Arabidopsis thaliana: one gene and its partner. The protein of the gene in region 1 interacts with the protein of each later gene in a biochemical or structural test. Each region holds a gene or a part of one and is shown on either strand. Other genes may lie near its edges. The genes, in order: TUA6 and GRF5.

Region 1 (11,018 bases):
TTAACTCCCCAAGAAATCAACAAAACAAGCTTTATCGTCAAGAAATCTCATCTAGGCAACCTCAAAGATCTCACATTTCATTATCTCGACCTCGAAGAACCAAACAAGAGCCACGTCCTCCAATGGCTATCACCAAATCCCTCCAAGAAACCACCACCCCCACGTCGTCGCTCATTCGTCGTGGTTCGAGCCGGTGGTCAAACCTACGAGCTCATCATCGACCTAACCACGAGCAAGATTGCATCCTCCCGCATCTACACAGGCCATGGTTTCCCCTCATTCACATTCATAGAGCTTTTCAAAGCAAGCAAGCTTCCTCTAACTTACCCACCTTTCAAGAAATCGATTCTCGATCGATCCCTAAACATCTCCGAGGTTTCTTGCATCCCTTTCACCGTTGGTTGGTACGGAGAAACCACCACGAGACGTGAACTCAAAGCCTCTTGCTTTTACAGAGACGGATCAGTCAACGTCTTCACAAGACCCATCGAAGGAATCACCGTAACTATAGACGTCGACTCAATGCAAGTCATCAAGTACTCCGACAGATTCCGAAAGCCTATCCCTGATAAAGAAGGTAACGACTTTAGGACTAAACACAGACCCTTCCCGTTCTTTTGCAACGTCTCCGACACAGGCTTCAAGATACTCGGCAATAGAGTCAAGTGGGCTAACTGGAAATTCCACGTCGGATTTACCGCAAGAGCGGGAGTAACTATATCGACGGCTTCGGTTCTTGACCCGAGAACCAAAAGGTTTCGACGAGTGATGTATAGAGGGCACGTGTCAGAGACTTTTGTTCCGTACATGGACCCAACCTACGAATGGTACTACCGTACGTTCATGGACATTGGAGAGTTTGGTTTCGGGAGATCCGCCGTGAATCTGCAGCCACTCATTGACTGCCCGCAAAACGCTGCGTTTTTAGATGGGCACGTGGCCGGACCAGATGGGACAGCTCAGAAGATGACCAATGTGATGTGTGTATTCGAGAAAAACGGTTACGGTGCTTCTTTTAGACACACCGAGATTAATGTTCCAGGACAAGTGGTAAACTTACAAAATACAGATTACTAAATGATTTGTTTACGTTTCTAGGAACTTTGATTAGTTACTTTAATTAATTTTTGCAGATAACAAGTGGGGAAGCTGAAATAAGTTTAGTGGTTAGAATGGTGGCCACACTTGGAAACTATGATTACATAGTGGATTGGGAATTTAAAAAGAATGGAGCCATCAGAGTTGGGGTACTGTTTACTTCATGTTCTCTTTAATATAGTATTTAACTTTTTGGATTGATACAATTGTTTTGAAATCCAGACCAACCTGGCCAGTTTTGACCTGTAAAGATTCTTTAACATATGTTATAATTTTTTCAAGTGAACTCAGTTTGATTTTCGTTTGAGAATTTTAAAAGAAATGGAGCCATCAGAGCTGGGGTATAGTTTATATATTAGCATGGTCTTTCATTTTTTATACATAATAAAGTATTCAAGTATATCAATCTTAATATATATGTAGGTGGATTTGACTGGAGTTTTAGAAGTAAAAGCGACATCGTACACTTCAAACGATCAAATAACGGAGAACGTATACGGTACACTGGTGGCGAAGAACACTATCGCCGTTAACCACGACCATTACCTAACGTACTACTTGGACCTCGACGTTGACGGTAACGGCAATTCCTTGGTGAAAGCCAAACTCAAAACGGTAAGAGTAACGGAAGTTAACAAAACGTCTTCTCGGAGGAAGAGTTACTGGACGGTCGTTAAAGAGACGGCGAAAACGGAAGCTGACGGTAGAGTTCGACTCGGCTCGGATCCGGTTGAGCTGTTAATAGTAAACCCGAACAAGAAGACGAAAATAGGAAATACAGTTGGTTACCGGCTGATACCGGAACATTTACAAGCCACTTCGCTTTTAACCGATGATGATTACCCCGAGTTAAGAGCCGGTTACACGAAATATCCGGTTTGGGTGACCGCCTATGACCGGTCCGAGAGATGGGCCGGTGGGTTTTATAGTGATCGGAGCCGTGGCGATGACGGTTTAGCTGTATGGAGTAGTAGGTAATTAATTTAAAGTAAAAATAATTAATCTAAAGTTTAAAATTATTTTTCATAGTAAGTAATTTTTTTTTTTGGTTTATTAAGGAATAAATTTGTGGTTTGTTATATGGGAACAGGAACAGAGAGATAGAGAACAAAGACATAGTGATGTGGTACAACGTTGGGTTTCATCACATTCCATACCAAGAGGATTTTCCGGTTATGCCAACTCTTCACGGTGGTTTTACTCTTCGGCCTTCAAATTTCTTCGATAACGATCCTTTGATTGGGTAAATACGGTCTTAGACAAACAAACTGATGGCTTATGTATTGATTGACTTATGTTACGTCAAACATATGATCATTGAAAAAACAATTTTTAGCCTTGTGACTAAGTTATTAATTTGATTTTGATTATTATGTCTTGAATGTATTAATTTCTTATGTTTTGAATGGTTTAGTTAATTAGCTTTGATGCTTTTTTTGGTTCAATACTTGTGATTCACTTATTTCTCAATTTTCAAGTTGGTCGTGCCATCGGCAAAATCCTTTCATTGTAACACCAAAACGTCGATAAATTTAATGAAATTTGGTTAAATTAGAATCGACCCACACGGTTGTATGAGTTTGTTGGTATATTTTATTATTCTAATTATTATTATTTCTTTTTTTTAAAAAATAAATAAGAAGATGATTTAATTAAACTATAGTTTAAAATTTTATCTATAACAATACTATATAATATATGAGTTGAACCGATTAAATGTGATATTGGTTTTTGTAATAGTAAAAAATAATAAAAATGTTAAAAATGATAATAGTAGCGATAATATTATATAACTAACTAAAAATATTTTCTATTATTTTTTCCTAAAAAAACTTTTTTTAACTGTAACAAATTTTTAAATTTACTCAATTTTATCGTAAAAATAGAAAATGGCACGTTGTACGGATCCTAATCAAACTATACTTTGTTTTTTTTTGTGTGTATGTGAAAATCATGGTTTTAAGTTCGTTAAATTCGCATACTTTCCAGATGTCCGGTTCAACCGATCTAACCGAAACCAAGCAAGAACGAAATGGGCTTTAAAGCCCAGTGAACCAATCAATGAATGTAGAGGAACGAGAGTTTTTCTGAACTCTGTTAAATTTCGTTTGCGTCTTCTTTCCATTCTCTGAATTCCTTCCATATCTCTCTCTGTGTGTCTTCTACAAAGACCAGATCTCTCATCTGTGTTTTGTTGGTTTATCTCGACCAAAGCCCACACGTCACGTTACGTTAGGTTACAAAACAAGTTTTTTCCCTTATAAAAAAAACATTGATAAAATCGAAAAATCAATTCCTATTTTGTTTCCAAAGCAAATCTATATATCTATTACCCATCTCGAATTCGACCGAACCCATGTTCTAATCTCCTTCGCAACATTGGAAATCTATTTTAAAAATCCGTTGAGATATAGTTATATAAGTAGTTTGGTGACTCAATTAGGTTTACACACAAAGACATGGGATCGGCTGGTGTAGCGAGTTCTTCTTCTGATGTTGCGATCTCAGGCAAGTTTCTTCTTTTTGTTTTTGGGTTTTCGATTTTTGACCTTTTATCAATTAGATTTCATCTCAATTCGTTCATATCATGGATACAAATTATGAATTCGAGATCTGAATCACAGCTTTTGATTTGTTTTGTGTTGTTTTGTTGATGTGAATCGATTAGTGATGTTGGATTAGCGATCAATCTTATAGCTTAATTTGTATTAAGGTGATGTAGGAGAAAGGCTTAACCTTTGTTGAAATAGGAGGGAGACCCACATTGTATGGGACTAATGTAATCTGTGTGTTATAAAACTTGCAGCTTTGCGTGAGAAGCATGAGAAGGAAGTAGAGAATCTAACATTAACGACACAACCTTTGAATACATTGAAGTTGTTTGTTGAGGCTACTATTCAGTACATCAAGCGATCCATATCGTATCTATTGGCTCATGGAGGTTGGTTTATACTGATAACCACTTTGTTAGTGGTATCTGGTGGTTTGCTTGTTACTGTTGATGGACCTCATGGCAAGGTATAAATCGTTTCGACTTTCCTGGATTGTATTTTGATATAAAGAAGGGTCTAAGTCTAACACATGTGTATTTATTGTTACAGCATGTTGAAGAAGTATTAGAGTATGTCCGATATGGCTTGTGGTGGATAGCACTTGGTGTTGCATCTTCTATTGGTCTTGGTTAGTCACTCAAATAGCGTAGTGTTCTTTCGCATTTACGAAGCAATTAACATTAGTCTTACTACTTCTATCTTCTTGTATAGGATCTGGTCTCCATACTTTCGTTCTCTATTTGGGTCCGCACATTGCTTTGTTCACTCTAAAAGCAACGCTATGTGGTCGAGTTGATCTAAAATCTGCACCATATGATACAATACAGTTGAAAAGGGTTCCTTCATGGCTTGATAAATCTTGTTCGGAATTCGGTCCTCCTTTAATGATATCAGCTGCTGGATCGCGTGTGCCTCTTACCAGCATATTGCCACAAGTCCAGTTGGAGGCAATCTTATGGGGTATTGGGACGGCTCTTGGGGAGCTTCCTCCATATTTCATCTCAAGGGCAGGTTTGTATACTGATTCTCTCTATATATTTCTCTTTGATTTGTGTAGTCGTCCATGCATGTGCATAGGTCTCGGTTGTTTATTGTGTTGTTTGCTTTTTCTATTTTTCCAGCTAGTATATCTGGGAGCACAGTGGATGGAATGGAAGAATTAGATGGTTCCTCCACTGAAGATAGCGGATTTATGGCAACTCACCTGAACCGTGTTAAGCGTTGGTTATTAACCCATTCACAGCACTTGAACTTCTTCACTGTCTTGGTTCTTGCTTCGGTTAGTATGCATCCTCCAATTTACTTTACCTTCTGCAGTAGCAAATGGATTATGACCGTATTTACTGTGTCATATAATATCTTTTGCTTTCTAGGATTCAATGATCAGGACCTTACCATTACTCACTGCTTCGATTTGATTGTAGGTTCCAAATCCTTTGTTTGACCTCGCTGGAATAATGTGTGGACAATTTGGCATTCCGTTTTGGGAATTCTTCCTGGCGACCTTAATCGGAAAGGCGATCATCAAAACTCATATACAGGTTCAGAACCTCGTGTCTCATAGATACTAGTTTAACACCCAAATGGTTTTTTAACTTTGTTTCTTATGTGCTTGTTTCTCCTTTTTCGTAATGTAGACGATATTTATCATCTGCGTTTGTAATAACCAACTGCTTGACTGGATGGAGAACGAACTGATCTGGATACTTAGCCATGTCCCGGGATTGGCTTCTATGTTGCCTGGACTCACAGCCAAACTCCACGCCATGAAAGAAAAGTATATTGATGCACCATCTCCTGTTCCATCTCACATCAAGGTAAACAACCTTTCGCTATCCCGCTACATTCTTTATAAACTTTACGCATTTCCTACTTTGTAAGTACGAAGTTTTTCACTATGTAATTCAAGCTTTTACAAAAGATCAACTGAATTTGCGTTCTTTTTGATCTTGAGTAGGTGAAAAAGTGGGATTTTTCGTTTGCATCGATCTGGAACGGGATAGTATGGCTCATGCTCCTCAACTTTTTCGTGAAGATTGTGACAGCAACTGCACAGAGACACTTGAAGAAGAAGCAAGAGAAAGAAATGGCTACTTTGACTCATTCAGATTGATAAAATCTCCCACAATCTTTCTTCCTCATGCTCCAACATCAAAACAGACACTATCCAGATTTGAGTTGAAGGGCCAACAAACAAAAAATGTCTTCTCATCTTCTCATCTTGTCACATTGATTCCGGTGGGACTGTTCTGTGTAGGAAATTGGGATTATGAGATTGCAGGAGGTTTATTTTTGTTCCTGTGATTCCATAGAGAAGGTTCTGTAGGAACAAGTACTCAGAAAAGAAAAACGCATTAATTGCTAATTTGGTACTGTTACCAAATTAAATCTAGTGTAAGCTTATTTTGTTCTATGCTTAGTTCCAATTATTTGTTATTTTTTTTCACTGTTAATATGAGCAAATGAGTCTACCAAATACAGCAAAACTACAAAGAGATAAAGTTATAGAAACTGAGCCCCAACAAACATTACAGAGGTAATGCTACATTCAGATACAAAAAGCTCATTTAACCAACTTGGGGAACCTGACGAAATATATGATTGCCAAAGATCCTCTCTAGTCGCACTTCGAGCTATATAAGAAAAGCTCTCCAAACATGGCCAAGCAGCAAAACTTATGATTTTATTCAAGTTCAGGCTCTTCATACTTTCCATTGCCCATTTCCACTCTCCACAGGAATAGGATTGAAACAAAGGAACTTCTGCTTCTGCTATGAGTTCCAGTTATTAGTTCCTTCTCATATTACTACTGAAATAATGTTTCAGTGCCATCTTTTGTATCCAGATAGTTCTTAGCAGCTTATGCAGATATGATAAAGGTTGACTTTAGGAGAAGTCTAGTTCAACTAACAAAAATACCCAGCTAAAATTCAGTTTTTGAGATTACTTTATCACATAGTAAGAAAGATATTACCAGAAACATGAGTCAATACACAAACGAACTAGATAATAGAAATCAAACCACCAGCAAGAGATAGAAATATAGGTTTAGAAAAACACACAACTAAGACTCGTAAGAGTTTCGAGCCCCCATTCATCACAACACGAGATAATAGAGAAAAACCCAACACAAAATCCAATTTTTAAGAAACATTCTTCTTAGTATTCCTCTCCTTCATCATCCTCATCGTCACCACCTTCAGCACCGACCTCTTCATAATCCTTCTCCAATGCTGCAAGATCCTCACGAGCCTCTGAGAATTCTCCTTCTTCCATACCCTCACCAACATACCAGTGAACGAAAGCACGTTTGGCGTACATAAGATCAAACTTGTGATCAATACGGGAGAATACCTCAGCAACACTGGTTGAGTTTGAGATCATACAAACAGCTCTCTGGACTTTAGCAAGATCACCTCCAGGAACAACAGTTGGTGGCTGGTAGTTGATACCACACTTGAATCCAGTAGGACACCAGTCAACAAACTGAATAGTTCGCTTGGTCTTGATGGTGCCAACCGCTGCGTTCACATCCTTGGGGACTACATCACCACGGTACATCAAACAGCAAGCCATGTACTTTCCATGTCGCGGGTCACACTTTGCCATCATGGAAGCAGGTTCAAAGGCACTGTTCGTGATCTCAGCAACTGAGAGTTGCTCATGGAAGGCCTTCTCCGCGGAGATGACTGGTGCATAGGACGAAAGCATGAAGTGGATCCTTGGGTATGGAACCAAGTTGGTTTGGAACTCAGTAACATCAACATTCAAGGCACCATCGAACCTCAGAGAAGCAGTCAAGGAAGAAATAACCTGAGAGACGAGACGGTTGAGGTTGGTGTAGGTAGGTCTCTCAATGTTAAGGGAGCGTCTACAGATGTCATAGATAGCTTCATTGTCGAGGAGGATGGAGACATCAGTGTGTTCCAAGAGAGAGTGAGTGGAGAGGACACTGTTGTAAGGCTCAACCACAGAGGTAGACACCTGTGGAGATGGGTAAACAGTGAAACCCAACTTGGACTTTTTCCCATAGTCAACAGAAAGTCTCTCAAGGAGAAGAGATCCAAGACCAGATCCAGTCCCACCACCAACAGCGTTGAAAACAAGGAATCCTTGAAGACCAGTACAGTTATCAGCGAGCTTTCTGATCCGGTCCAAGCAGAGATCAACAATCTCTTTCCCAATGGTGTAATGACCACGGGCGAAATTGTTAGCAGCGTCTTCTTTACCACTGATGAGTTGTTCAGGGTGGAAAAGCTGACGGTAAGTACCAGTCCTGACCTCGTCGATCACAGTTGGCTCAAGATCAACAAAGACAGCACGTGGGACGTGCTTACCTGCACCGGTTTCACTGAAGAAGGTGTTGAAAGCATCATCACCTCCACCAACAGTCTTGTCACCAGGCATCTGGCCATCAGGCTGTAACATTCCAGATCCAATACACCACATCAATACAAAAATCATATACAATAGATCTAAACAGGTTCATCGAAACGGATCTTACATCAACTATATAAATCAAACACAGATCTAAGCAATTACGTACAATATATCTACGAAATCCGAAGAACAAGGTGAAAATATCTCAGATCTGATCTATAAGAGGAAGAGACGAACCTGAATGCCATGTTCAAGACAGTAAAGCTCCCAGCAAGCATTTCCGACTTGAATACCAGCCTGACCAATGTGGATCGAAATGCACTCTCTCATTGTCGTTTCGCGGAAGAAAGAAAGATCTAGAAAATAGATTTGCAGGGAAGAAGACGAAGGGCGTTTATGAAGACGCTCTTCTTTAGATCTGATATTTTCGATTTCTAGGTTATGAGGAAGGTGTTTGATGCTGTATTTTATAAGCGAAAATTATCCCATCTGTATGTAACGGCAGGTATATTACACGTGTAATGATGTAATTGGGTTGTTGTTAAAACCACGATTTGTTGTTATTCTCGTGAGCTGTGTATTTTATAATTTTGGAATTTTTGAAAAGCAAAATCCCTTGAATTGCGTGGAACTTAACCGGAATTTTAACTGGAATTGAACCGTATCAGACCATTATTTAGGACTGAACCAAAGTGTATCAGATAAGTAATTTCCATTGTATGTTTGAACTTGCAATCAATCTTCAGGGAAATGATAAATCGATATACAATAAAACCTCTATAAATTAATAATGTTGGGACCGCGAAATTTTATTAATTTAGAGAGGTATTAATTTATCGATAAATTAATATTTATTAATTTATACAGACATTTTCCTAATTTGGTAACTTTTAAAATTGTTTTATAAGATTTCTTTCATTGTAGAAAATATATATTTAGAACCAGTTACAAGTAAAACATAATAATAATGTTTAGAAAACAACACCAAAAATTTTGATACAATAAAATATGAAAATTATACTCAAACAAAGAACAAATATGAATTTAAGCAAAAAAAATTTTAAAATATATTTTAAAGAAATTCTTTTACATATAATATATATATAGTTAATATATTTATACAATTATTAATTTATGATATTGATGAGACCATACATTCACATCAAACTTTCAGAAAAATTATTATCTTATTAATTTATCGTGTTCAAGGTCGGTCTTAAAAAATTTATGAAACGCACTCTGAATATTTGAAGTATCACAGTTTAGTACCTTAACTTTTGTTGTTTAGTTAAAAAAGTCATCACATCCTAAAAAGTGGTGTAAAAAATTAGCAAATTTCGCAGACACGTGAAATCGGATCCAATCGATGATTCCGGCGAGGAGGTTTCTCTTATCTCCATTTGTCGGCGTCACGTTTATCGTCGTTCTCGTCTCTCTCTACTTCAGATCTTCCTTCAAGTCTCCACAACACCAAGTACCAACTGCTCTTCTTTCTAACTAACTTCCCTGTTCTGAAAATTCCAAACAGACACGAGCTTAGCTGGAATTCAAAATCTCTATTTAGCTTCTGCTACTTTTTGATTGAATTATACAGGGTCTTCTATAGCCAATGAAGTTTGTCTCTGTGGTTGTTATGTATGGGTCTTGAGTTTAATTAGAATTGAAATAGATAAACCAATGTTATGATGATGTCTCATGTCTTTGATTTGATGGTTTGTTTGTGTTTCAGTATCAAAAGAGGTTATTTTCTGCTGAAGAATTGGCATTGTATAATGGTACTGATGAAACATTACCTATACTCTTAGGGATTCTTGGGTGAGTTCTTTTCCTTCCTTCTGCTGTCAGGTTTTTGAAAGTAAACGCATATGTTAACAACTTGTGAACTGAGTATTCAGATCTGTGTTCGATGTGACGAAAGGAAAATTTCATTACGGTAGTGGAGGAGGGTACAACCATTTTGCTGGAAGGTTTGTTTTGTTAAAAATTATGTGGAGAGATTCTCATATGTTCTTCTATCTTCTTCTTGTTAATCTTTCATGTTTGTAGCTGATGGGAAGTGTTTTTCCATGTCATTCTTTCGCTCAGAGACGCTTCTCGTGCATTTGTTTCTGGCAACTTTACAGGTACGAATCGTTTGCTGCATCCTAATCACCATGCCTGTTTGATCCAGATAAATTTGTGGAAAATTTTGTAGTATATTATGGTCTTTGCTTCTGTTAGTACTTATGGACATTGGCATGACATCCTCGAAAAAAATGAGATTTCATTCTCTTTTCTTGCTAATGTTATGAGGAAATTTTCTGTGTTCCTCCCATTACACATCTTTGAATCCTCATAAACAATATTAGTCATGCGTGAAGAAGTCAGAATTATCCAAACTTTGTAGCTATTTGGAGAATATTATACATCAAGTCCCTGAAATCTGTGGAAACTTCTCATTTGTGTGCTATGATTATTTTCTTGTACAGGAGATGGACTTACAGATTCGTTACAAGGGTTATCTAGCAGTGAGGTAATGTTTTTTTAGCTCCATATATCTCATCAATGAAATTATAGAAACGTCTAAAGTAGTCTTTGATCTTGCCATTGTGCCAGATGTGCTTATTTCTTCATAACTATTACTTTCTAAGATATTGAAGTAGCATATAGTTTGTTAACTGTTTGATATTCTATAACTCCGATTATGTTTAGTTACATGTTTGATATGGCTTGACAAAGATTTCTTGTCCGCAGGTGAAGAGCATTGTTGACTGGCGAGGTTTCTACTCCAGGACCTACACGTAATTTATTACTTTTATGTTTAATTCACACAATAGAAAGCTGATGCATAGTTAAACTAAGAAGGTGGTGTATGGATAATACATTGCTCACCTTAATCCTTGTATTATATGGTCCTCTTGGTTTGGTTCTCAGCTTTTAATTTGTGATCAACAGTCCTGTTGGGAAGCTTGTTGGGCGGTACTACGATAGCCAAGGGAATCCAACTAA
Region 2 (11,018 bases), on another chromosome or scaffold:
GATTAAGATACTGCCGGATAATCTTTGGTGTTGATATGGGCTACTGGTATGCTCCTTTACAAGTTATCTTGGTTCGATGATGCTTACACTCTGATTTCTTAACTGTTGCAGCAAATTCAGAATCCAACAGCCATTATGATTGCGAGGACAGCTGTTGCACAGGATGATATAAGTGGTGATGGTACTACTTCCACTGTTATCTTCATTGGTGAGCTTATGAAACAGTCTGAACGCTGCATCGATGAAGGTAAGTCGCTAATTGTTTGCTGAGAGTTCGTTAGTTTTATACTCCTATATGCTTGTTTTTATTTTATTTCTCAATCTATGTGTTATTAGTGGGGACCAACTATTTGTATTCAGCGACATTGATTTGCCAAGTTTTGTTTATATTGGGTATAGAAAATGCACAACTGGTATCTAGTTTTGTAGCCAGAATCCTAATGAAGGTTTATACTGTATCAGGTATGCATCCACGAGTCCTAGTTGATGGTTTCGAGATTGCTAAGAGAGCTACTCTTCAATTTCTTGACAACTTCAAGACCCCTGTTGTTATGGGTGATGAAGTTGATAAAGAGATCCTAAAAATGGTTGCAAGAACGACACTAAGAACAAAAGTATTCTTCATTTTATGATTATCTTTCTTTTCATTTGATTTTTCTTTTCGTTTTCTAATTTCGATTTACTCTTGTGGATTGTGTAGTTGTACGAAGGCTTAGCTGATCAACTGACTGACATTGTCGTCAATTCGGTGAGTTAACTGTTCTCTAATGGAATCTCACTTATTCTTTTCATTTTTTTTGTTCACACAGATGAGGACTCATCTATGCACCAATATTGGTTTTCGAGCTTGTTTGTCTTCTAATTATCTACTTTCCTCACATTACAGGTTCTTTGCATCCGAAAGCCTGAGGAAGCTATTGATCTGTTTATGGTGGAAATAATGCACATGCGTCACAAATTCGATGTTGACACACGATTGGTATGTCTTGACTTAATTTATTGTAAAATAGTTCCCTCATTATAGGTTTATATATGAAATACTTGCCGGTTTATAGTATGGACCTGTTGGAAACACTGACTTAATTCTGAATTAGGTTGAGGGGCTTGTTCTGGATCATGGTTCGAGACACCCTGACATGAAACGACGCGCAGAAAATTGCCACATCTTAACTTGCAATGTGTCACTAGAGTATGAGAAGAGGTGTGTAATATAATTCTTTGGTCAATTTGGCGAAGAGAAAGTAAAGGCCTGGATGTTTCTGGTGATGTGGACTAATATTTCTATTTATCTATCAGTGAAATCAATGCAGGATTTTTCTACTCTAATGCGGAGCAGAGGGAAGCCATGGTTACCGCAGAGAGGCGATCTGTTGATGAAAGAGTTAAGAAAATAATTGAGCTGAAGAAGAAGGTGGGACTGCGACCATTTCTCCAAGTTTTATTTTAAAACCCTGTAAAAAATACTAATACATGTTTTATTTCTTGTGCAGGTGTGTGGTGATAATGACAACTTTGTTGTCATAAATCAGAAGGGTATTGACCCACCATCATTGGATCTTCTTGCTAGAGAAGGGGTAAGCTACTTCTGTGTTTTCTTGCATTTAAACTTATGTTACAAATCGCTGAAATTGTGATATTTAGGAACAAGAAGAAAGATACTAGGGAAGAATGTGTTATTAAGTGAATTGAAATTGCCAGTAATATTAAAAGAGTAGTTCCTTCGATATACAATAATCCATGGAGACGATTGGCAGCATTAGTTTTTAGTTCTGGGACACTGACTGAGCTTGTCTATTCTTTTGTACCTAATTTCTCTTGTTTAGAAGCTGTTGAATCTAATTACCTTTCCTCATGTGTCCAGATTATTGGTCTTAGAAGAGCAAAGAGGAGGAACATGGAACGTTTAGTTTTGGCCTGTGGTGGAGAAGCTGTGAATTCTGTTGACGACTTGACCCCTGAGTCTCTTGGATGGGCTGGACTTGTCTATGAGCACGTTCTTGGGGAGGAAAAGTACACCTTTGTGGAGCAAGTGAAGAATCCTAATTCATGTACCATCCTCATAAAAGGTATTAGGACGACTTTTATGTCTTCATTAAGTTTTGATGGTTCATTTGTTCTTTTAGTAGTTTTAGTGTTCATTCATGAATTTCTTGGGTTTTGTAGGGCCTAATGATCACACTATTGCCCAAATTAAGGACGCTGTTCGTGATGGTCTGAGATCGGTCAAGAACACCATAGAAGACGAGTGTGTTGTGTTAGTAAGTACCTTATATATCTTGAAGTTTTTTTGTTAACATTGCTTTATGTTTCTCCGCAATATCAAAGAAATTGTTAATTCGTGATCAAAACCCTGGGTAAGGTTAGCATATAGACCTATTGTATATGTTTTGCGTTATGTTAATGTGTGGTTGCATGTTTCTGTAGGGAGCAGGAGCTTTTGAAGTTGCAGCAAGGCAACACTTACTCAATGAAGTCAAGAAAACCGTTCAAGGGGTAAGTTGATTTCTTCACTCGTACTCTAATTCTCGCAACATTACTTAATGCATCCCAATATTCTAAATTGCTAATACTATCATGAACATTGCAGCGTGCCCAACTTGGCGTTGAAGCTTTTGCTAATGCCCTTCTCGTGGTGCCTAAGACACTTGCAGAAAATGCAGGTCTTGATACCCAAGATGTGATCATTTCTCTTACGGTATGCATTCATCTCTCTTATCATCTTCTGCAAACTGAAATCAATTGTTGAAGGAACAAAGAATTAGAATTGCTCATTGTGATGCGCTTATGCAGAGCGAGCATGACAAAGGGAACGTTGTGGGACTGAACCTTCAGGACGGTGAACCTATTGACCCGCAGCTTGCTGGTATTTTTGATAATTACTCAGTGAAACGCCAACTTATCAATTCAGGGTAATGTTCGACCCAACTAGTCAATTCTAATAAAAGCTTTGGGTTTCGGTTGAAACCATTTCAATAACCGGCTATTTGTTTGTGTTGCAGGCCAGTGATTGCGTCGCAATTACTTTTGGTGGACGAAGTGATTCGTGCAGGCAGAAATATGAGGAAGCCTACTGCTTGAAGTCCTTTGCTTTTAACTTGGTTTCTAATTTGTAAGCACCTCAAATTTTGTTTCTTGGTGTAAATCCTGAATATTGTGAAACATATGTTTTTTTTTTCTTTTTGGCAATGAAAAACATATTTGAATCTGATCTTTAGATGTAGTGGATCTTTTGCAAAATGATAAAAAATAGTAATACAAAATCTATTTGAATCTGATCTCTAGATTTAGTGAATACACCCATATTTAAGAAAGGCCACAGTTTATTTATAAAAAAGGATATATTTTGGTTCGCAATGAACAAGAAACAAAGCGAGGACATTATATTGGTCGTACTCAAATCTTTTGTTCAACAAACATCTATATGGCCGAGGCTGAGACTTTACCCTCTTCTTGAACCATATACGCTCTCTTCATTTCCTCCAAGACATTGTCATTGGTGCTGCAGAATCAACAAAATAGTTTCATGGTTAGACAACATTTAAGCATCGGCCCAACAAGGGAGACGTTCATTAGGGAGTCACATAAAAAGAACTTGTGCACCAAGAACAAGACTGTGCTACACCGATATAGAAGATAGTTATTACTTCTCTTTTATCGCAGTATCAAAGAATCATCAATCATCCCCTTCTATAAGCTTATATTTGGTTACATATATATACTAGCACTGGTACGTCATGATAACGTTATGCATCTCCTAACCACAAGTTGTCTCATTTCATCATATCAGACTTACCAGTGAAGGGTATTAAGAAAGAATAATCAAAATCAGATGCCCCCATACACAACAAATCTTTATACGTAACAGTGAAAAAAAGATGACACCTCTAATGGAAGGAGCACTAAAAACTCGAAAAACTTACAATTGATGGAGGCAAGTGTTGAGCTCCCTAGCTTGCTTACGACATGTCCATACCACAGAAAAAGTTCTTCCTGTTGCGCATTGAGCATACTTGGAGACGTACTGATCACATTCCATTAATGCCTTTGCCTTCATCTTGCTACGCAGCGCTAATAACAAAGTATATACATAATCAATCAAACAACCATTTAACAAAAAAAAACCATCACCATTTCAACTTCAACACAATCTATAAGCTCAATTCATAGAAGCAATTTGACACACTCAATGAGAGCTTGCTAGATCAGATGCAAAATATGGAGTTACTACCAAGGGTTTATGAGAACCCTAATCCTCAATCTAGCAAAAGAATCTGCGTCTATGATAAGAAACCAGGCTTAAATAGTATCGATATGGTTGATCTCATTTTCGAGGCAATAAAAAAACCATTTGGGGGTTTAGGGTTTTAAAACATAGCGAGATGAAGAAGTCACGACATTGTCAAATTACCTTCTTCGACCTTCTTCTTCACGTGATTTTCACGAGCTTGCTCCACATAGCTACCCATTGACGACGGACCTTCGAGCTTTTCCGGCCTTCTCCGATCAATTCGATCAAAAGGGCAAAGGGGACTAGAAATGGGTTCAGGGCAAAGGGTAAATCCGTCATTTACCCCAAGGAAACTTAACTTATATTGCCATTTTGCCCCCTTAATATTTTTGTATTATATGAATGACCTTATTAACTTATGATTCGTCACATTTCACCCACTTCAATTTAAAATTATGGACGAGAATTAAGTCCTTTGACGGTCAACAGATTAGCACGTGTCGTATTTTAATTGGGTCGTTGCCCCTCTCTCTCTCTTTACTCTTTTCCCATTTAATGGTCACGAGACCGTCTCCCCCAAATTTCTCACTTCCCCTAATTTCGCTTCGAATTCAAAAGCCCTAATTCGAAAATTCCCATTTCTCAAGGTACGGTTCCGATCTTCCTTGCTCATACTTCGACAATGTTTTTTCTGCTTCTCGTTTTCTGCGTTTATTGTTGATATGTTGTTGATCTTCGCGTTTTGGTCATCACTTCAAGATCTGTAGGATTCAAAGTTCGTTCTATCGATTTTGGATAGATCTAGCAGTGTAAATCGTTTGTCAAAGTTTTTTATTCTTTGGGTGCGTGGATTAATTTTGTTAGAGATGATTGTTATCGTTGCTCTTGAATGCAAGATTGTTGCAGCATTACTGAGTTCTATTTCGTGCTCTTTGTTTATTGCTGCTGCTTGATATTTTCTTGTTGAAAACAGGTTTTTAAAAGAGTATTGCAAAGATGTCTTCTGATTCGTCCCGGGAAGAGAATGTGTACTTGGCCAAGTTAGCCGAGCAAGCTGAGCGTTACGAGGAAATGGTTGAGTTCATGGAGAAAGTTGCAAAGACCGTGGAGACCGAGGAACTTACTGTTGAAGAGAGGAATCTCTTGTCTGTTGCTTACAAGAACGTGATTGGTGCTAGGAGAGCTTCTTGGAGGATTATCTCTTCCATTGAGCAGAAGGAAGATAGCAGGGGCAACAGTGATCATGTTTCGATTATCAAGGATTACAGAGGCAAGATTGAAACTGAGCTCAGCAAGATTTGTGATGGCATTTTGAACCTTCTTGAGGCTCATCTCATTCCTGCTGCTTCTTTGGCTGAGTCCAAAGTTTTTTACCTGAAGATGAAGGGAGATTATCATCGGTACCTTGCTGAATTCAAGACTGGTGCTGAGAGGAAAGAAGCTGCTGAGAGCACTCTTGTTGCCTACAAGTCTGCTCAGGTTATCATCTTGTTTCTTCTTCTTAACCATATAGAGTGCTAAGATAACATGTTGTCTCATGCTATTGGTGTTTGTGTTTTTATGTAGGATATTGCTCTTGCTGATCTGGCTCCCACTCACCCAATCAGACTGGGGCTTGCTCTTAACTTCTCTGTTTTCTACTATGAGATTCTCAACTCATCTGATCGTGCGTGTAGTCTCGCAAAGCAGGTCTGTGTTACTTTTTCATTTATGCTATGCTTTCTGTCATTAACTAACAAACCTATATTCCAACTGTTTTGCTTGATTAAACTTAGCACATAAGAGGTTCTTTTTTTCTATCTATCGTTCATAATGTGGCAAAAACGTGTTACGTAGTTAACTTGTTACACTTCCATGTGGGTAGACTTTCCATATGTTCTAGTAATGGTTTGTAGATTGCTTACCATAGCCTGACCGATAGGGTTGTAGTTAATTTTGATGATGGGCAGAATTGGGAAACTAGATCCTGTGAATGGTTCCATACACTAGTGAAATTTGGACAACCTTCACATTCGGATTCTAGTTTGATTCAAGTACCTTTTGTTTAGTTACTAATATGATTTTTCATGGTGGTAGGCTTTTGATGAGGCAATCTCGGAGCTAGACACATTGGGAGAGGAATCATACAAGGACAGTACATTGATCATGCAGCTTCTCCGTGACAATCTCACCCTCTGGACTTCTGACCTCAATGTACTTGTCTCTCTTTACACTCATCATTGTTAGCAATATCTTAGTGATTGCATCATGCAGTTAAGATTCTTGTTGGTTTTCGCATAACATTTGTGTCTAATATCTAATCTCCAGGACGAAGCTGGTGATGATATCAAGGAAGCCCCGAAAGAGGTGCAGAAAGTTGATGAACAAGCCCAACCACCACCTTCGCAGTGATAAAATCAGATCCATGGAATGATTTGCAGACAAAAAAATATATGGCTTGGTTCTGTGTTTTTAAACAGAAAAAAACCTTGTAGTTTCCTTAAACATGGGCTGTAGTTTCCTTAAACATGGATTTGTAGTAGTAATTGTAGCTGCATGATTTGGTTATCGATGGTTAAAACTCTTTGTGTGCTTCTCACATGTTTTGGTTGTTGTCGTTGTTGCCGGTTTCACTATTAGACTGCATTGCATTACATGGTCCGGTCTAAAAGTTGAAAACTTGCTTCCTTCTCTGATTGGGGTTTAGTTGTCTTTTAGATTATGCTTCTCTAGGTGGAATGTTCCCCAAATGGAATTGGTTAAGACTCAAGAGAGTTGTTCAATGAAACGAAATAGAAATGGAATTTCACAACTTTAAACGAAAGATAAAGCCTCTTTCGGTTTGGAACAACTGTTAGGTAACACATATAATGGAATTACAAATCATAAATCCTCCATGACCATAAGCTAAAAAGTTGGATTAATTAATAAATGACATGGGAATGGGAGGTAACATTAACTGGTCCAAAATAAATAATTAATGTAATGACACATTCACATAATAATATCTCGAATTGAAATCCCACCGAGAGTGCCCTGCTTTTCCACTGAGTTTCTTCATATATATCTCTTTCTCTCTCATTTGTAATTGTATCTCTCACTTTTGTTTCAATGGCTTCAGCTACTTCCGTCATAGCCTGGTCATTTCTCTTTCTATTCTACCTCTTTGTTTTTCTCCATTACTGTTTCTGACTTGTGCTATTGCTCCTTCGTTTGATTTTTTGGCACAGGGGTTCTGGAGAAGATGGGCAACTAGGACTTGGAACCGATGAAGAAAAGGAATTGGCTTCCGTCGTCGACGCTCTTGAGCCTTTCAACGTTCGCTCCGTCGTCGGTGGTAGCCGCAATTCCCTCGCCATTTGCGATGATGGCAAGGTTACTTATCCAATTTCCTTTATGTGTCCTTGTTGTGTCTTCTTTGGTTGGTTTCGCTTAGAACTAACTAAAGTACAATGCTTTGCTTTGATTTTGCGATTTGATTCTAAGCCATGTCTTTAAGATTTTCTTAGTTCGCTTTACATAGGGTTTTTGAGATCTGTAGGACCAATTAAAAAGGGTTTAAAGCTCGTATTTTTTTTCTTGTCCTGAAGTCCAACTAAAATGCAACCAATATGTTTGTCTGAGGTTACTCTCGAATAGATCATCAGACTCTGGTTCTTGTCTCCATGGTGTAGTTTATGATTGATGTGTCACCAACATATAGAAATAATATGGTCTCTTAAATGGTTTCTCAGCTGTTTACATGGGGTTGGAATCAAAGGGGTACATTAGGACACCCACCTGAGACAAAAACAGAAAGCACCCCAAGTCTAGTTAAGTCTCTTGCCAACGTCAAGATTGTTCAGGTAAAACTTCTTACAATTATTTAAGTATTTTTGGCTCTAATGCTGTTTCCTCGTTGTGATTTACTCTGAATTGCCGTTTCTGTAATTGATCATAGGCAGCTATTGGTGGCTGGCATTGTTTAGCTGTCGATGATCAAGGCCGAGCATATGCTTGGGGTATGCATTTTCTCTCTCAGCTTCTTTCTAATGATTGTGACCTCAATGATCTTAATGATCTTAAGTTGTTCACCTTTTTGTTATATAATCTACTTAGGTGGAAATGAATATGGACAGTGTGGTGAAGAGCCTTCCAAGGATGAGACAGGTAGGCCTGTGCGGAGGGATATTGTAATACCTAAGCGTTGTGCCCAGCAACTTACAGTCCGACAGGTTACTTATGCTGCTAACCTCTCTTCATTTACCTCAATTTTTAGTTCTCTTTTTTTCCTGTCTAAACCATCTGTTCTCGGGTTTGTATGATTAAAATAACAGGTAGCTGCAGGGGGTACTCACTCTGTGGTTCTAACCCGTGAAGGTTATGTATGGACTTGGGGTCAACCGTGGCCTCCCGGTGACATGTATTATCCAAATTTCCTTTCGTTTATGGATACGACATTTGCATTTTCTTGTCTTCTGTTGGTTTATATGGTGTTTCCTGTGTATCGCAGAAAACAAATTTCTGTTCCTGTAAGAGTTCAGGGTCTTGAAAACGTTCGTCTGATTGCTGTGGGAGCATTTCATAACTTGGCTCTGAAAGAAGATGGGACTTTGTGGGCTTGGGGTAATAATGAATATGGACAACTTGGAACTGGAGACACACAACCGAGATCGTATCCTATTCCTGTCCAAGGCCTTGACGATCTCACTTTGGTATGTAGTCTAAGACTTCTGGTTTAAGCACTCATTATTATAACTGATGCCTTCAGATATGTGAACTATAAAGGCCTATGTTAAAGTTTAATTCCTCCTCTGAATTCATGTTAGGTTGATATCGCTGCGGGTGGATGGCATTCAACAGCTTTAACCAATGAAGGAGAGGTATTAGAAGTCATACATTCTCTTACTAATCTAGGGTCTCACTTTTTATTCCATCTGGCTCTTGATCGAGTCATTACTGGGTTGTTTCTGAGCTTGATGTAGATCTTTACTCTAAAAATGTTGTAACTTGGCTATGTCCAATATTAGGTTTATGGTTGGGGAAGAGGAGAGCATGGAAGGCTCGGGTTTGGTGACAATGATAAGAGCAGTAAAATGCTTCCGCAGAAAGTTAATCTCTTAGCTGGAGAAGACATCATTCAGGTAAAAAGTACAAACCACCAGTTCTTGACTCTTCTCATAGCTTTGAAAGCTCTTATTGTTTTTTTTCCTCTCAGGTCTCTTGTGGCGGAACTCATTCAGTCGCTTTGACAAGAGACGGTAGGATCTTCTCGGTAAGTCCTCTTAGAGAGTATAAAACATTGTTGGTTAGAAACCCAAAGTCAATCTATAAACCTCTCCTTTATATTGATTCCTGTGATCAGTTTGGTCGGGGAGACCACGGTAGACTCGGGTATGGAAGAAAAGTAACTACGGGACAACCATTGGAGCTTCCTATACACATTCCACCACCAGAAGGACGGTTCAACCACACCGATGAAGAAGACGATGGAAAATGGATAGCTAAACATGTAGCTTGTGGTGGCCGACACACTCTAGCAATTGTGGAATGGAAGTATGATCAGGAGGAAACAGAATAACCATGAAGAAGATAGAGCGAGCAAAAAAACAAAAACACAAGAGGGACTCTAGAGATAAGCATTTGTTATAGAGAAAAGGGGAGCAAAAGCATATGGTTAAGCTTTTGACACTCCCATGAATGATGAATCTATATGAAAGAGGAAGAACTAAATATAATATCATCATGATTTTGTTTTTGATAATATAAAATAGATTGAAAAAGAGAAACAAATAAGAGGAACCTTTGAAAGGATGGTTTAAACCTTTAAACCTTTATTGATTCTCTCGGTTTAAAGGTTTTTCAACAACCTTTGACAAGATGAGGAACACAAATAGGGAAGATATACTTTGATTTTCTTGCTTGTCTTTGTCTTGATCTCACCCATGAGAAACATCCAGGTCCTCTCTTCTTCTTCTTGGTCTTCTCTTCTTCTTCTTGTTCGTCTTCTTCTTCTTTATCATCTTCTTCACTCATATCTTGCTTCTCTTCTTCTTCTTCTTCTTCATCTTCTTCGTTGCTCATATCTTGCTTCTCTTCTTCTTTTTCTTTCTCTTCCAACTTCACATCCTTCAAAGCTCAAATAAATCTTCATTAACATGTAATATCTTGAGAAGAACAAGGCTTAGATATATAATATAGATAAGACTTATTTTCCTTACAAGTGTTTTTGGCCTTTTGGCAAATTATCTACAGTTTCATGTCCAAAAACAGCAATTGATAATAGTTATACAAACGTAAATCATCTCTTTTCTTTCTCAAAGGTAAAACCACATGTAAAGTTGGGGACTGGTGAGACTTGATGAAACAAACTTCTAAGGTCTCTAATCGAGTTTGAATAGAATGAGATTGCTATCAGTGCCTTATCAAGTTACAAAAACTTACTCCTAAATAACATGTTACTCATAATCATAAGAGTGACTATAACTGTATATTTAGATAAATGTACAGAGAAAATACAGAATATGGATGGTAGTCACGTGAGTTGGAGACAAAATCATGAAATGGGGCCTAATGAGATATATTTTCAAGAAATACGGTTTTGTGTTTCTATGATTAATACTCTCATATATAGTCATAGACGGTCATGTGTACTATGTTTCATATATCATGAAAGAATCTTAAATCTTAAAATGAATCATGTAACATATCTACAAAAACAATAATAGAAGAGTTTTATCATTGTCTCTTTCCATGAAAACATTTGGTACTATCATTTCTTTGATGCTTTTCTTATCTTGCGAAAGAGTATCTAATTATTGATGCATATGCA

Evidence for each region.
Region 2: the proteins of TUA6 (region 1) and GRF5 form a complex in vitro, tested with the Arabidopsis thaliana proteins (one study listed by BioGRID).

Annotation. Positions count from the first base shown.
Region 1 is NC_003075.7:8,541,960-8,552,977, forward strand, and holds TUA6 (Tubulin/FtsZ family protein), read right to left. Parts: upstream 8,537-11,018; 5' UTR 8,361-8,536; coding exon 8,268-8,360; intron 8,070-8,267; coding exon 6,810-8,069; coding exon of another isoform or gene 6,794-6,809; 3' UTR 6,458-6,793; downstream 1-6,457. Other genes in the region: AO1 (amine oxidase 1), read left to right, coding at 1-1,050, 1,134-1,247, 1,522-2,072, 2,189-2,345; KMS1 (SNARE associated Golgi protein family), read left to right, coding at 3,558-3,606, 3,905-4,116, 4,200-4,278, 4,362-4,661, 4,772-4,929, 5,075-5,191, 5,288-5,467, 5,608-5,763; MAPR4 (membrane-associated progesterone binding protein 4), read left to right, coding at 9,397-9,504, 9,760-9,845, 9,926-9,997, 10,116-10,153, 10,499-10,542, 10,764-10,810, 10,965-11,018. UniProt on the Arabidopsis thaliana protein: Tubulin is the major constituent of microtubules, a cylinder consisting of laterally associated linear protofilaments composed of alpha- and beta-tubulin heterodimers.
Region 2 is NC_003076.8:5,239,609-5,250,626, reverse strand, and holds GRF5 (general regulatory factor 5), read left to right. Parts: upstream 1-4,788; 5' UTR 4,789-4,875; intron 4,876-4,884; exon of another isoform or gene 4,885-5,070; intron 5,071-5,201; 5' UTR 5,202-5,224; coding exon 5,225-5,707; intron 5,708-5,794; coding exon 5,795-5,917; intron 5,918-6,304; coding exon 6,305-6,421; intron 6,422-6,535; coding exon 6,536-6,619; 3' UTR 6,620-7,072; downstream 7,073-11,018. Other genes in the region: AT5G16070 (TCP-1/cpn60 chaperonin family protein), read left to right, coding at 112-247, 463-614, 701-748, 887-979, 1,095-1,201, 1,297-1,411, 1,491-1,574, 1,862-2,066 and 5 more; AT5G16060 (Cytochrome c oxidase biogenesis protein Cmc1-like protein), read right to left, coding at 3,418-3,499, 3,921-4,068, 4,409-4,466; AT5G16040 (Regulator of chromosome condensation (RCC1) family protein), read left to right, coding at 7,319-7,347, 7,438-7,582, 7,942-8,052, 8,148-8,208, 8,306-8,421, 8,524-8,609, 8,700-8,901, 9,016-9,069 and 3 more; AT5G16030 (mental retardation GTPase activating protein), read right to left, coding at 10,049-10,315. UniProt on the Arabidopsis thaliana protein: Is associated with a DNA binding complex that binds to the G box, a well-characterized cis-acting DNA regulatory element found in plant genes.